Mus musculus: one gene and its partners. The protein of the gene in region 2 purifies or fractionates together with the protein of the main gene of each other region. This does not show direct contact. Links are inferred from orthologs where the notes say so. Each region holds a gene or a part of one and is shown on either strand. Other genes may lie near its edges.

Evidence for each region.
Region 1: the proteins of Vdac2 (region 2) and Fam162a fractionate together in Homo sapiens (co-fractionation; 3 studies listed by BioGRID and IntAct, with this or other methods). This does not show direct contact. The link is inferred for Mus musculus from reciprocal best matches to the Homo sapiens genes VDAC2 and FAM162A.
Region 3: the proteins of Vdac2 (region 2) and Rab7 purify together in Homo sapiens (affinity purification with mass spectrometry; 3 studies listed by BioGRID and IntAct, with this or other methods). This does not show direct contact. The link is inferred for Mus musculus from reciprocal best matches to the Homo sapiens genes VDAC2 and RAB7A.

The regions. Positions count from the first base shown.
Region 1 is NC_000082.6:36,043,316-36,047,835, reverse strand, and holds the end of Fam162a (protein FAM162A), read left to right. Parts: intron 1-1,348; coding exon 1,349-1,457; intron 1,458-3,744; coding exon 3,745-3,837; 3' UTR 3,838-3,992; downstream 3,993-4,520. UniProt on the Homo sapiens protein: Proposed to be involved in regulation of apoptosis; the exact mechanism may differ between cell types/tissues.
Region 2 is NC_000080.6:21,830,298-21,834,619, forward strand, and holds the start of Vdac2 (voltage-dependent anion-selective channel protein 2), read left to right. Parts: upstream 1-1,263; 5' UTR 1,264-1,370; intron 1,371-1,553; 5' UTR 1,554-1,578; coding exon 1,579-1,612; intron 1,613-2,586; coding exon 2,587-2,655; intron 2,656-3,503; coding exon 3,504-3,553; intron 3,554-4,322. UniProt on the Homo sapiens protein: Non-selective voltage-gated ion channel that mediates the transport of anions and cations through the mitochondrion outer membrane and plasma membrane.
Region 3 is NC_000072.6:88,042,377-88,046,744, forward strand, and holds the start of Rab7 (ras-related protein Rab-7a), read right to left. Parts: upstream 2,895-4,368; 5' UTR 2,697-2,894; intron 2,642-2,696; exon of another isoform or gene 2,561-2,641; intron 1-2,560.

The DNA of each region.
Region 1 (4,520 bases), on a different chromosome or scaffold from region 2:
TGTGGCTTTGAGACCTCATAGCCCGTCCTCAGCTTCATACTTCTCCCAACAAGACTACGCCTCTTAATCCTCCCCAAACAGTGCCACCTATTGGAGACAAAGCCCTGAGTAAAGGACAGAAAGAATGCTAGTTCTGTGTTGTTGCCCAGGAGCAGACATGACAAGGTTCTAGTCTGAGACCAGGGCCTCAAAGGACTTAACGTTTAGGTTCCTGGGAACCTGCCTTTCCCCTGGAGAAATTGGAATTGTCTGTGTGTGACACACTTGAGATAGCCTGGGATCCTTTCGAGAAGCATTGTATGGCAGCTTTCTGCTGACTCTGTCCCATCCTCCTCGAAGACTCTATAAGATTGTGTACTTCTGTCGGGCAGTGGTGGCGCACGCCTTTAATCCCAGCACTTGGGAGGCAGAGGCAGGTGGATGTCTGAGTTCGAGGCCAGCCTGGTCTACAGAGTGAGTTCCAGGACAGCCAGGGCTTCACAGAGAAACCCTGTCTCAAAAAAAACAAACAAACAAACAAACAAATTGTGTTCTTCTTAATAAACTTGCTTGGCATAAGCTATCAGCTTATGCACGGCCTCCTGGTCCTGACTTCCCATCTTCTTTATTTCCTCATCCTCAACTCTTCCCCTTAGGAACCTGTCACTGAAGAACAGCCTCCTGGTCCAAGTCAACCAAGGATTTATTTGCTCTAGACTGTGGGATGACAGTCTCATTCAAATCACCACACCTGTTAAAAATGTTTTTGTGGCTGGTGGGATCTCCAATGATTTTAGTTAAGCAGTTAAGTAAGCATTCACTGTCTTTAGAATTTGTCCCTGGTTCCTTCCATCCTGCAGGGTCAGTTTCAGAGCCTGGAGAGCTCCATGCACAATTCTGCCTCCCAGGTTCCAGCTCTTATGTCTCATTGTGTGTGCTCAGGGTCCTTCTCCCACCTGGAGACAGTCAGGACTACACAGAGAAACCCTGTCTTAACCCTCCGCTCCCCCAAAAAGTGAAAATGTGGAGTACAAAAAGTATATTAACTCCTCCACGTTTGTTTTCTTTCTGAACTGTGTCTTTGTGAGTTTACTTTAGCTCATAGCAGAGCTTTTGAGAGAAGAATGAGTTCAAGGCCAGCCTGGGCTATAAAGCAAGAAAGACCCTGTCTCCAAGAACAACCAAAAAGATTAGTCTTGAACTTGGTCAACCCTCTCCAAGGTGCTATGAGGTCCCTAGGTCCTAGCTTCTTTTTTCTATTCACAGACATCACTGTCTGTGAATAGAAAACGTTGCGATGCACAGTGTTTGATCCTGCTACAAGTTGAGAAAGAGAAGGGTTAATACGGCTTTCTCGTTCTGTTGCTAGATTTGAGATGCTTGATGCTGCGAAGAACAAGCTCCGGGTGAAGGTCAGCTATCTAATGATTGCCCTGACCGTGGCAGGATGCATCTATATGGTTATTGAGGGCAAGAAGGTGAGAGTGGGCTCCTCTCGGCCTCACCATGCTTTCCCCAAAGATGGAGGAACGTGGTGCCTGGCTCACACCTTAGCTCTGTGAAGGGGAACACGTCGTGTGAATTTACTGGCTCGCAGAATACTCTGTATTAGTGTACTGACTGAGTGCTCAGTGCACTCCAGGCCCTTCTGAGTGGTGTCCTCATGTGCCCCTCACAACTGCTTTGCTAGACAGATGCTACCATGAGAGGAGGAAAGTGTAGCTTCGGATGCTTTAGCAGCAGGCTGGAGAAGGAGAGCTCAGCGGCAGAGGCCTGATGACATGAGTTCAGTCTCTTCGTCCCAATAGCTGGTAGGAGAGACCCAACTCCTAAGACTCACCCTGGATGTTCCACATGCACTCTGGAGCACATGTGTGTTTGCACACACACAATAAATAATAGCGTTTTAAAGTAAGTATTGGCATATACTTGCCCAAAGCCATGCATTTCCCTAATGACAGAATTGGAACCTAGACATAATTGAGGTAAAGCTAAAATTGCTCCTCAGTACAGAATGTGTGCTCTACAGCAGCAACTGTTAAGCTCACTGGATGTGAGAACCTGAGAGCGCTTTCTCTCAGCAGGCTTTGTAATGAAGGAACCTGAAGCTCACATGCACCATACACTTTCCAGAACTCACATAGTAAATGGAGACAAAAACTTGAAATTAAAAAAAAAAAAAATTCAAGCTGGGCGGTGGTGGTACACGCCTTTAATCCCAGCACTTGGGAGGCAGAAACAGGCGGATTTCTGAGTTTGAGGCCAGCCTGGTCTACAGAGTGAGTTCCAGGACAGCCAGGGCTCTACAGACAAAACAAAAATAATCAAAAGAAAAACTTTAGATCTAATTTTGCATGTACCAAATATCCTATTAAACCATCTTGTTATTAAGATATAGTTACTCTGGAGGCTGGAGAAATGGCTCAGTGGTTAGGGCCTCTTGCTGCCCTTGTAGAGAATACCCAGGTTCGGTTCCCCAGCACCCACATGGCAGCTTACAACCATCTGTAACTCCAGTTCCTGGGAACCTGGCACCCTTTTCTGGCCTTCACAGATACCATGCACATATGTGTACATGTACATACATACAGGTAAATATCTATACACACAAAATAAAAATAAGTAAAATGTAGTGTGTGTGCGCCTGCTTTTAAACTCAGACACACACTTTGAAAATCATGTCTAGTTCTGTGTTACAGCTTTCACACAGAGAAACTGTTAGTCCATATTTAAAAGCTACCTCTGAAGAAGCACTTGTCAACTGATCTTCTCCTGAGCAACTCCAGAGTAAAAAGGAAGGGAACTGGGGACTCTGCGGTGACACTGCGGTCACATAAACGCACTAGCCATTTCAGTCTGGCCTCATAGGGGCACAAAGGGCCACGGGGGCTGACCTGGGAGAAGTTCTCTTGAAAGTGAGCCTGTTCTACTTCACTTTTCCCATCTCCTCGTGTGACCTCTGACCTCCCATTCATGGTTCTCAGACTGAAAGCTTTAGAAGCCTGTGCACGGGCACGTGGGTTTCTAGAAGTGTGAGAGATGGCTGGCTGACGTTCAAGATCTCCAGGAGTGAATCCCCCTAGGACGTCCTCCAGCACCTTCCAGGCTGTGCTAGGAGGAGAAGCTTTTGCGCTAACGTCATTTAGGAGAGGAGTTAGTTACCATCATGCTTTGTCTTACCGCTGACATTTGTTTCCCATCCATTTTCTCCTCCCACCAAACTCTTCACATGTGCAGTAACATGGATGTCAGAAAATCCACATACTTGACATAAACATTGGTCTGATTATAGAAGCTTCATACAACTTTAACAGTTCCCATTGAGGGAAGCCAAAGAAATGGCAGGGGCTCCCCTGCTGCCAGTTGCTTTGAAGGGGTGGAGTTCTGGGATAGATAATTCTAGAAGTCATCAGGGATTCCCAAAGCTGCATGTTTTGTTAAAAGAAAAGGCTAGAAAGACAGGAAAGTGTACACGAGTTAGGGAAGCAGAAAGGAGAAAAGTGGAGGTGAAGTGCTGTATATTGTAGAATAGGGAAGGGTGTGAAGAAGACATGGGATTGTAGAGAGGCCGCACATGCAGAGAAGGGGGAGCTGTGTATTTCTCTCCCGGGAGGGGGTGGAAGGTGTGTAGAGAGCATGACTGTCCAGTGTCCAGGCAGCTGACCACTCCTGGCCTGTGCTGCACAGCTAGCCTACTGCTCTCAGCACAAGGGGAGAACAGCCTTCCAGACCTGCCATCATCTCTCCAAATGTATTTCCTTTTAGGCTGCGAAAAGACATGAGTCTTTAACAAGCTTGAACCTGGAAAGGAAAGCCCGTCTGAGAGAGGAGGCAGCTATGAAGGCCAAAACAGACTAGAAGTATTTGGAAAACCCAGGAGTAAGGCTGCAACAAGAAACCTGCTTTACAAAGGATACAATCTGAGACTCACTTTGCAGACATGTATTTTGCACAGATGTATTCCACTTCCCTATTAATGCTGTAGAGGAACAAATACATTTTCTTAAAGAATGACTTGTCTTTGTTTTGTTGCTTTCATCCAAGTAAAACCTAGCCTCCCCACTGTGCAAAGTGGAAAAGAGGCAAATAATTCCAAGTTTATAGTATTATCTCTTCTTGGGAGTATCAGGTTCATTAGCTAGCTTCTTCTCACCTACCAAAGGTGAGACATGAGTCCTATAGGTCTCTCTTATGTATACCATGCCTGACAGGATAAGAAGCCAGGGTGTCTTTGTGAAGGCTGGCTCCCCATGCACTGAATGGTCTGGCATGGCAGTAGGCAGAGGCATTTTGAAGAGCCTTTGAGAATGCCCTGGCATGAGAGTAGTCTGGCCATGAGTTTTGAGTTATTCATCCTGGACTTTCTGGGGGACAACTGCTACCTCCTAGTTCATGGCTTGGCTCCCAATCAGTCCCTTTCCTACCCTCAGGGTATTACATTTTGTACTTAGGAAAACGCCATGCCTGTACTTCTAAGTGTTGGAAAGTAACCACTTAGATCAGTACATCTCCATTAGCTTGTCCTTAGGCTAGCAAGGTGT
Region 2 (4,322 bases):
ACAGAATTTAGAGAACACGGTTTGCAGGCCAGGTTGACAGAGCCCCCGTGACCCTCTTGTTTCTATTTCTGGAACTACTACTGGCTTTTAATGTGGGTGTTGGGTGCTGGGGATCCGAGCTCAGGTCCCCTTGCATGCACAGCAAGATAAGGGTTCTTACTCACTGAGCCTCCGATTCTATCTTTATTATCCTGTTTGCCTCACCCTGTAGTTTAGCCTCAAACTGGTCTCTATTATTATTATTTCAAGACAGGGTTTTTCTGTATTGCCCTTGCTGTCCTGGAACTCTCTCTGTAGACCAGGCTGGCCTCGAATTCAGAAATCCACCTGCCTCTGCCTCCCAAGTGCTGGGATTAAAGGTGTGCACCACCACTATCCAGCGGTCTCTTATCTTTATTAACCTTTTGCCTCACTCTGTAGTTTAGCCTCAATCTGGTGTAATTTCTCTGCCGCCCAGATCTGGGACTACAGGTATAGGCATCAGGACTGGCTGCTCCCTCCCTCTTCTGGCATATCTAAAGAACTTGAGAGCAGCATTCTAATGACTGGTCAGCATGAATCCTACAGTTATTCCCTTGTCTCTCCAGGCCTCTCAACCAGGGGAAGCTTCTCTTCCTAGAGCAGGATGTGCTTCTGCGCGTGTGTGAACCCATACCATATATGGGTGAGACGGAGGCTGCAGGAGCGCAACCCTGAGGCTCCGAGAGAAATGCCCAGAGACTGGCTCAAGTTTGTTCCTTTGGAGCCCAGCCTAGTCCCAGCAGGGGAGGACATGGCGGTGGGCGGTGAACCGAGATGGGAAGAGCATGGAGGCTGCACTTGGGGAGAGTGTTTCATCCCCCTCAACCCGGACCTTAAGTTCAGACCTCCAGGCTGGGACTCAGGGAGGAGGCTGAGAGGGTGCACGTGACCCTGCGGGGCACATCGCCCCGCCCCGTCGCGACTCGCGTGGCCACTCCCATCCTGACCGCGCGGGTGCCGTTGCGCCGCCTCCGCCGTTCCCAGGTCCTCGCCTCTGGGGCTGTCCTGGACATTGCCTAACCCGAGGCCCCGCAGCTCCTGCTCGCCCCGTCCCCGCCGGACGGTCCGAGACCGCTCACCCAAGGAGACCGCCGTGCTCTCGACCCACGTGGTCACTCCGGAGCAGGTGGGAGTGGGCAGCGGGCGGAGCGGCAAGGACAGGCGCGGTAGACAGCCCGGGCGGCCGCGGCGGGGACCTGGCTGGGGGAGGCCAGGCTTGCGGCGGGGCGCAACGGTGTCTCCTTCACTTCGCCCTCCAGCCGCGGTGGCTGCAGCGCAACTTTCAGATAGCGGAGTGGCCTCAGCTGCGAGCCGAGCGGTGGCGGCAGCGCCCCTCAGGACACCCGCAGGTACTATGGTGCCCGCCTCTTGCCGACTCTGGGGCCTTAGGGCGGGCCGGCAGCCTGAGTGAACTCAGGGCGGCCCTGGTCCCCTAAGATGGCCGCAGCGGCCCCGGCCCCTTTCTCTAATGTCCGAGCTCCCCAGGGGACCCTTTGACTGTCCCCTGACCGCACTTCTTGTCCCTTTCACAGATCACCTTTTCCCCGCGACTTCGCCATGGCTGAGTGCTGTGTACCGGTATGCCCACGGCGTAAGTAGCACAAGAGGTGTTTGCGCGATGGGGCCATGGGGGCTGTGCTGTTCCTCTTTAGAGAACCATACCTTGTTCCGCCGTGGCCCACATGATGCCTGCAAAGACTTGGAAAGTTTGCTTCTTTGCGCGCCCCCTAAGTCTTACACTGCCACTCTGTTGACGGACGTGGTGCTGGGCTGTTGGGTTGCAGATAGGGGGGCTCGCGCCTGGGGCGTTGGTCCTTGGCCGCACCCACCCTTGGCTTTTGGATATGTTACTTACAAATCCGAAAGCAAAACACTTAGTTGTTGAATTCCATCTTGGGGTTCGGGGGGGGGGGGCGGAGAGTTAGAGCAGTCACTTTGCAAGAGGAAGTAGTTCGCTGTCTGCCTGCACAGGTCGAGTGCACTACAAGGTCATTACACGTGTTCCTAAGGGCGTGGATGTGCACTGGAGAATGAATGAGCTGCTCCTGGAGCTCGGATTCCTTGCCCTTAAGCCTCACGTTGTCGGAGGACTTGGGGGACCGTAGTAATGTGTTTAAAGTGCCATTTGATATTTAGTTGCTGTAGACATAGATGGTTGTATTTTTTGCCCGTGTCTCAATTGTGCCAGTTCCCAGAGTGTTGGTTTTGATTTTGGAAGTCCTTCCCAAAGGTTTGTTAGGGGAGAACGCCTAAGCTTAAATTTTGGTTTTTATCTCCGTTAAATCAGTCACCTTGAGTTTTGGCAACTGTGTAGGCAGTAGACACTTATGTTTAGGAATTAGAAAGGCTTCCCCCATTCTTAAAACTTGGTAGAAATGTCCCAGGTTTGTATTACCACATAGCTATTTAGAAATAAGTTTTTGTTATGGGTGGCTACTTTAGAATAACATTTATTGAAGTTCTAGTGGCATCAAAACCCACTCCGGTTGAACTGCTTGAATGTAAATGTTAGCAGTAGGTCCTAGTAGTAGCTCACATTAACTGTAGAATGTTTCTTTTGACTAGCGATGTGTATCCCTCCACCCTATGCTGACCTCGGCAAAGCTGCCAGAGACATTTTCAACAAAGGATTTGGTAAGGACTTTTTTCCCTTTTAAACATAAAAGAGAAAAATATATGCTTGGACCTCTTGAAAAAAGTTAATTGCTTTGCTTTTCTAGACTGAATACCCTGCTGCACTCATGCCTCTGCCAGCTGCATGTGTACCCCACTTTCTTAGCCTTTCTTCGGTCACAATTGAAAAGCTTGTTCTTTTTATTTTGTTGTTGTTTTTTGGTTTTGTTTCAAGACAGGCTTTCTCTCTGTAGTCCTGGCTGTCCTGGAACTCACTCTGTAGACCAGGCTGGCCTTGAACTCTCAGATCTACCTGCCTCTGCCTCCCAAGTGATGGGAGGCGAGTACCACCCCACTCCCCACCCCCTAGGGAGAGGGGAAAGCCTGTACTTTATTCTTTTAAGTGACAGTTCAGACCATGGTTGGATAGAGCTGCCTAGAATTACTGTTTTATTTTTGTGGTTATGACTCTGGGTAGGTGGAAACCTTAGAGTTTTGAGTCAATTTTTGTGCTTTCTTGAAAATTGATTGTTTTGCACATACCACTACCCCTTGCTCTTTGGTGATACCCTTTTGGGATAAAAGTCCTAAGTGTGTTGCCATAAACAGTAGGCCAGTCTGAGGAACTGATTTTTAATCTAACGTTTAAAAATGGCTTGAAAAGGGTGCGGCAGGAAGTGGAGCCAGTTATAGGACACTAGGCAGCGCTACTGTCACCTTAGCAGAGCTGACTGCTTGTAAATGTTCCTTCATGTGCTGTGCATTTGTCCATTTCTGTCCCGGACTTTGGGATTATGTTCACAGTACTTTGAGTGTGGGTATACGTCTTTTCTGCAGAAGAATCATATCTTTGCCCTCTCTTTTTGAAGGCTTTGGGCTGGTGAAGCTGGATGTGAAGACGAAGTCATGCAGCGGTGTGGTAAGTTATTGATTCGTTTTCACGAAGCTGTTAATTTCATAGCCCATAAATATCTACAGCTCTTTTCCCTTAAGGAGGCAGAAGCTAATTTGTTTTGAATGATTTATGTGTAGTCTGATTTATTGGCTTTGTATGTGATTTCTGCATTTCACATGGTTTTGTTATATTCCTTTATTATGTATGTTTTACCATGATTGCATGGAGAAGTTGGGAAAGCCATTGCTTATTTGGGACTGTCTACTCAGGTAGATGACAAGCATGAAGGCCGTGACTCCTGTAACCCTTTCTCTTAGTACCTGTCAGAGTTCTGGGCTCTGAGTAGTAACTTGGTTATTTGACTACAATGACCATTTAGTATAGTGGCTACATTCTAACAGCCATCCATGGAGATGTCTGCCTGTTTATCCTGACTGGAATGTCTCTACAGAATTTGCTATTTTCATATGTGTTGATCCTTCCCGACTGTTGTTAAAGAAGGGAGAAAGTAAAGCACTGTTCTCCTTCTTCTCTAGAAGTTTTTATTGTGAGATTGGAGATGGGTGTTTAATGTTCATGCTAAACTATGATTGCTCGGTACTGTGTGCATGCTGCTCTGCATGTAACTGGTATCTATTAAGTTGTTTGTGGTGCTGTTTCTTGATGCTTAGATCTGTTGCATTTGTGGCTTTTATATTTGTCTTGTCCTGTGGTTTCTTTGGTCTGTGAAGAAGTCTTAATTATTTGGTTATGGTTGAGTGACTGACTTGGATTAATAGATTATAGAGTATTA
Region 3 (4,368 bases), on a different chromosome or scaffold from region 2:
AAACTGATTCACAACTCCTTTCGTACAAGGACAGCTCTTACAGGGTTAGGATCTCTGAATATGAACCACAACTGACACCAAAAAAAAAAAAGAAGGCAACCAGGAAAGTCACCATGTGGTTGTCAGCAGTCACCTGGAAGACTTCACTAATAAAGCTATTTTTAGAGCGCATGCCAGTTCCACCCTCCTTCCTTTACTCCTGAGGTTCTACCTTCAGTGTAAAACCTGGGCCCCTGAATGGAGGGAACCAGAGAGCCATGGCAAGCAGAGGACACAGGGCTTCTCCAGCATGCATCACTAAGTCTAGCAGAGCGACAGTAAGCTTTCTTGTCAGCTAAAAAGGAAAACCCATCCTCTGCTCCCACATGACAGTGCACTGGACGAAGTGGCATCTAATTCCCTTTGAGAGAGGGCAAAAAATATCATACAACAAAAAGGGAATCACGTTTAGTGCTGGTGGTTACTCTTTAAAAGAGGTGATCAGACTATCACCAGACTATGGCCCTCTCTTACAGGAGCAAACCTAATGCTGACAGAGATGGGGGCTGAGGTTGGCTCAGTTGTCGGACAGACAAGTGTAAGGACCTGAGTACAGATCCCAGGACCCACATTTAAATCAAGAAAAAGAAAAGGAGAGGCAGGCAGATTTCTGAGTTCGAGGCCAGCCTGGTCTACAGAGTGAGTTCCAGGACAGCCAGGACTACACAGAGAAACCCTGTCTAGAAAAACCAAAAAAACAAACAAACAAACAAACAAACAACCCAAAAATGAAGGAAAAAGAAAAAGGGTAGGTTCAGAGGCATCTGCAACACCCTCGGGCACGTGCATGCGTGTGTGCACGTGTGTGCATGCGTGTGTGCACGTGTGCGCATGCGTGCACTCACTGGCTAGCCTGCTAGCAGTGGATAGGCTCCAGGGTCAGGGAAGAGACCCTGTCTTCAAAAAGTAAATAATTAAAAATTAAAAAGGCGAGCAGTAAAGTAAGACACCCAATACCCACCTCAGGCCCACACAGATGCACATGTGCATGCATACACAACACACAAAGAGTTGGCAAATATTTCAAGTAGTTAGCCAGAACAATACACATCTGGATATCTGATTCACCTGAGGGAATAAAATAAAATAAAAACTACTTTTTGCAGAAGCCTCCGATTCTTTCTACATCCGAGTCATTCCTTCCTAAACAGCTCCTGGCTCTGAGACTCATCATTTTACAATTCTCTGAGGACACAACCCAGCCATGCCTTCTTCCCTGAGTCAGGACCCAGTAATGCCTGACACACATGTGGAAGAAAAACATCTCCCAAATGAAGGTGCCAGCCACTTGTCTTCTCCAGCCTCTGCTCACACATGACAGTGCACTGGACGAAGTGGCATCTAATTCCCCTCGAGGGAGGACAAAAATATCATACAACAAAAAGGGAATCACGTTTAGCGATTCCTCTTCTAAACTCATTACATAGGTTTACAGCCCGTAAGTATACCAGGCCGGGTAGCAAACTAAACTATTGACAACCAAGGACACCAAACTTTAGTCTGGCCAGCTTCAGAAGTAGTTATAATTCACTTTCCAGTTCTTACACTCAATTCTGATCCAATATTACCAAGATCGAAGAGAAATATGCCAACAAGAGATTTTATTAACTCAATCATGTGGGTATCAGTTGCTGAAGTCACAAGAAAGAGACAAGAGTTTATTCTTTGGAAAACCAAAAACACAAGATTTTCAACGGTGAAGAGTCAACAGGTTAGGTTGTTGTAGAAATTCTTGTAGAAAGGTGCACACAGTAGGCATGCCAGACCTGACTCAAGGAAAAGAGCTGGCTAAGAAACCTATTCAAATCCAATACATACCTTGCCAGAATTCAAGATCTTCTGGTTTGATGACACTACACTACCTTATATGCCTTGTAATATGCCTTGTAAGTCACAAGTACAAATACAACATGGCTTTAAGGTAGGACTAAGAGGCTCTCAAATGACATCACTAGACAGGAGGTGGAGGGGGGTGCTGATGGCAGATAACAGGTGGCAGGCTTTGGGGGCATCTAAAGTACAAGAGGCCAGAGGCCAGTAAGTGCTAAGTAGTCTAGCTGCCTATGTTTCAACCTCTCACTCTGAAATTTATCAGCGGTGTGACCTTGGTCGAGTGCCTTAGCCTCTCTGTTCTTCGCTTTCTCTGTAAGTAGGCACTGCCTCGGTGCTTCGGAGGGGCTGTTGGGAGAACAGGGCAATTTGTGCGGTCTTGCCACGCAGCCCAGCAGCCGAGAAATCTCAAATCTTCACAACCTTACTCTCAACATCGGCACGATTATGAGCCAGGAGGACATCAGGCCATTTGAAAGGCACTCGGGAGGTCCTTCTTCCCGGAACTTCGGAAACGGGATTTACCCTGCAGGACCCTGAAAGCTCCTGTCTCCCAGTGCCGGCGGCGGGCCGGGGCATGTGACGCGCCTGGCAGCACTGCCTCGGTGGCCGGCCGGCCGGTAGCTCTTCCCACCCAGCAGGTTGCCGGTGGGGACGCGCCCAGCCCGAGGATCCCGTACCCGCCACCCACCGATCGCCGATCGCCCTCCGCCCGCCGGGCGCCGCCCCGCCTGGCCCGGCCCAGCTCGGCGCTCGGCTCGCCGAGGACGCCAGGCCCGGAGGCCCAAGCGGCGGCGGGGGAAGGGCGGCCGGGGCCCGCTGCTCACCGCAGGGTCAACGGAGGAGGAGACACAACGCAGGCCGCAACAGAGACGTCCGATTCCGGCTCCAGCAGGCTCCTCGGAGCTGCCCGGCCCCAAACACCGCCGCCAACGCCGCCGCCTTGGGCTTTATGGTCAAAGCTCCGGCCTTGCTTCCACTTCCGCCACCGCCGCCGCCCCGAGCGGAAGTGTCTGTCACGAGACGCCCGACGCCAGGGTTGGAGGGAGGAGCCCCACCTCCACCTTGCGTCACGTTCCGGTCGCGTCAGGCCCTAGCCTGGCATCTGGGGCTTAAATATGGCCGTTTCTAGATGGGGGCTGCCATCTTTGAAGGCTGTGCAGAAGCTGGAGCGCACCATATTGGGCCAAGAACTGATAATGCAGTGGTGTCCCCCCCCCTCATCCCACCCCGCTCCTATAAACAGAGCTAAAGGAGGGAGAGTCACTTGGTCTTTCCAGAGTGTCCCCCTCTGGAACACGCTAGTCAGTCAGCCATGTATCAGGCAGGGTATAGTCTAGGGTCTTCTGAGTCCACTGGGTACAATCTCTAATGTGGATGGAAATGATCAGTTACAGTGTCCCCAGTGTTGGAGACCCAGTGATGAAATAGGAGCTACCTGTGCAGGGCAGATGGTTCAGGAAAATGGAAAGAGAGCTAAGGAGTTGCTGAACTGAAGAGACATGAGGCTGATTTTAGTGTCACGCCCACCAAAACTAAAACAAAGGCCTAATCCATCAAAGTCCATATCTTTCTGGGGAAGTCTCAAAATGTACTAACCTTGCTTTTTAGCTTCTGTAGTTCTGTTTATGGCTGACAGTTCTTGTTAACTGAAGTATGTCAACCCAGAACATGTTTTTTTGTGTGCTTAAAAGCTCACCCTGAGAAAGACTCAGGTTGTCCTGGGGTATTGAACACCCAGTGCAGTAACCAGCTGCCATTTCTTAGCTTAAACCCATATCTGAGTAGTCTTTTCTGGTGAATACCCCACAACACTAGTACATGTTCTAGCATATAAGGAATAGAGAAGGTTTGTAGGTCCTAAGGAATAGGGGAAAACAAGACCTTTCTGCCAAGATCCTCACCATTTGATATAATAGACACACACACAGGAGTTTGCTCAGTTTCAATCATTAGTTAATTATTACTTGGCCATTTGACTGAATACTTTGAAACTAAGATATGAACAAAGGAAGTCTATGTATATTCATATGCAAAGTGAAATCTTCAAGAAATATGAAGTGACAAAGTAGGGTGCAAAGATGTATATGTGACAGTTCTTGGTTCTTGTTGGGGAAAAAAAAAACACATACTTGCTGGGTACAAATTTCAGCAACTAGTTATCTGGGTTATCTATTAAAATTTGACCGGATAGTAGGACCCATATGAATCTGGTGGTCCAGTCAGACTTTCCACAGTTGTAGGGATGCAGGAAGCTGGTTCAGGCCCTGTCTCTCTACCTCATGTTGGATATAGCATCAGCCTCCACATGGCAGATAGACCAGCAGTTTGGAAGCAAAGCTGCATGTGGCTAAGAGCAGTGATACACTAGACCCAAGGAGGAAAGTGGGAGACAACTATGAGGCCCAACAGGAACTGTGTCTGCTTTTCATCTCTTCTGACTTTAGTTCCCCTAGAGTAACTCACAGAGCAGCCAATGCCCTATTCTAACCTCCACGG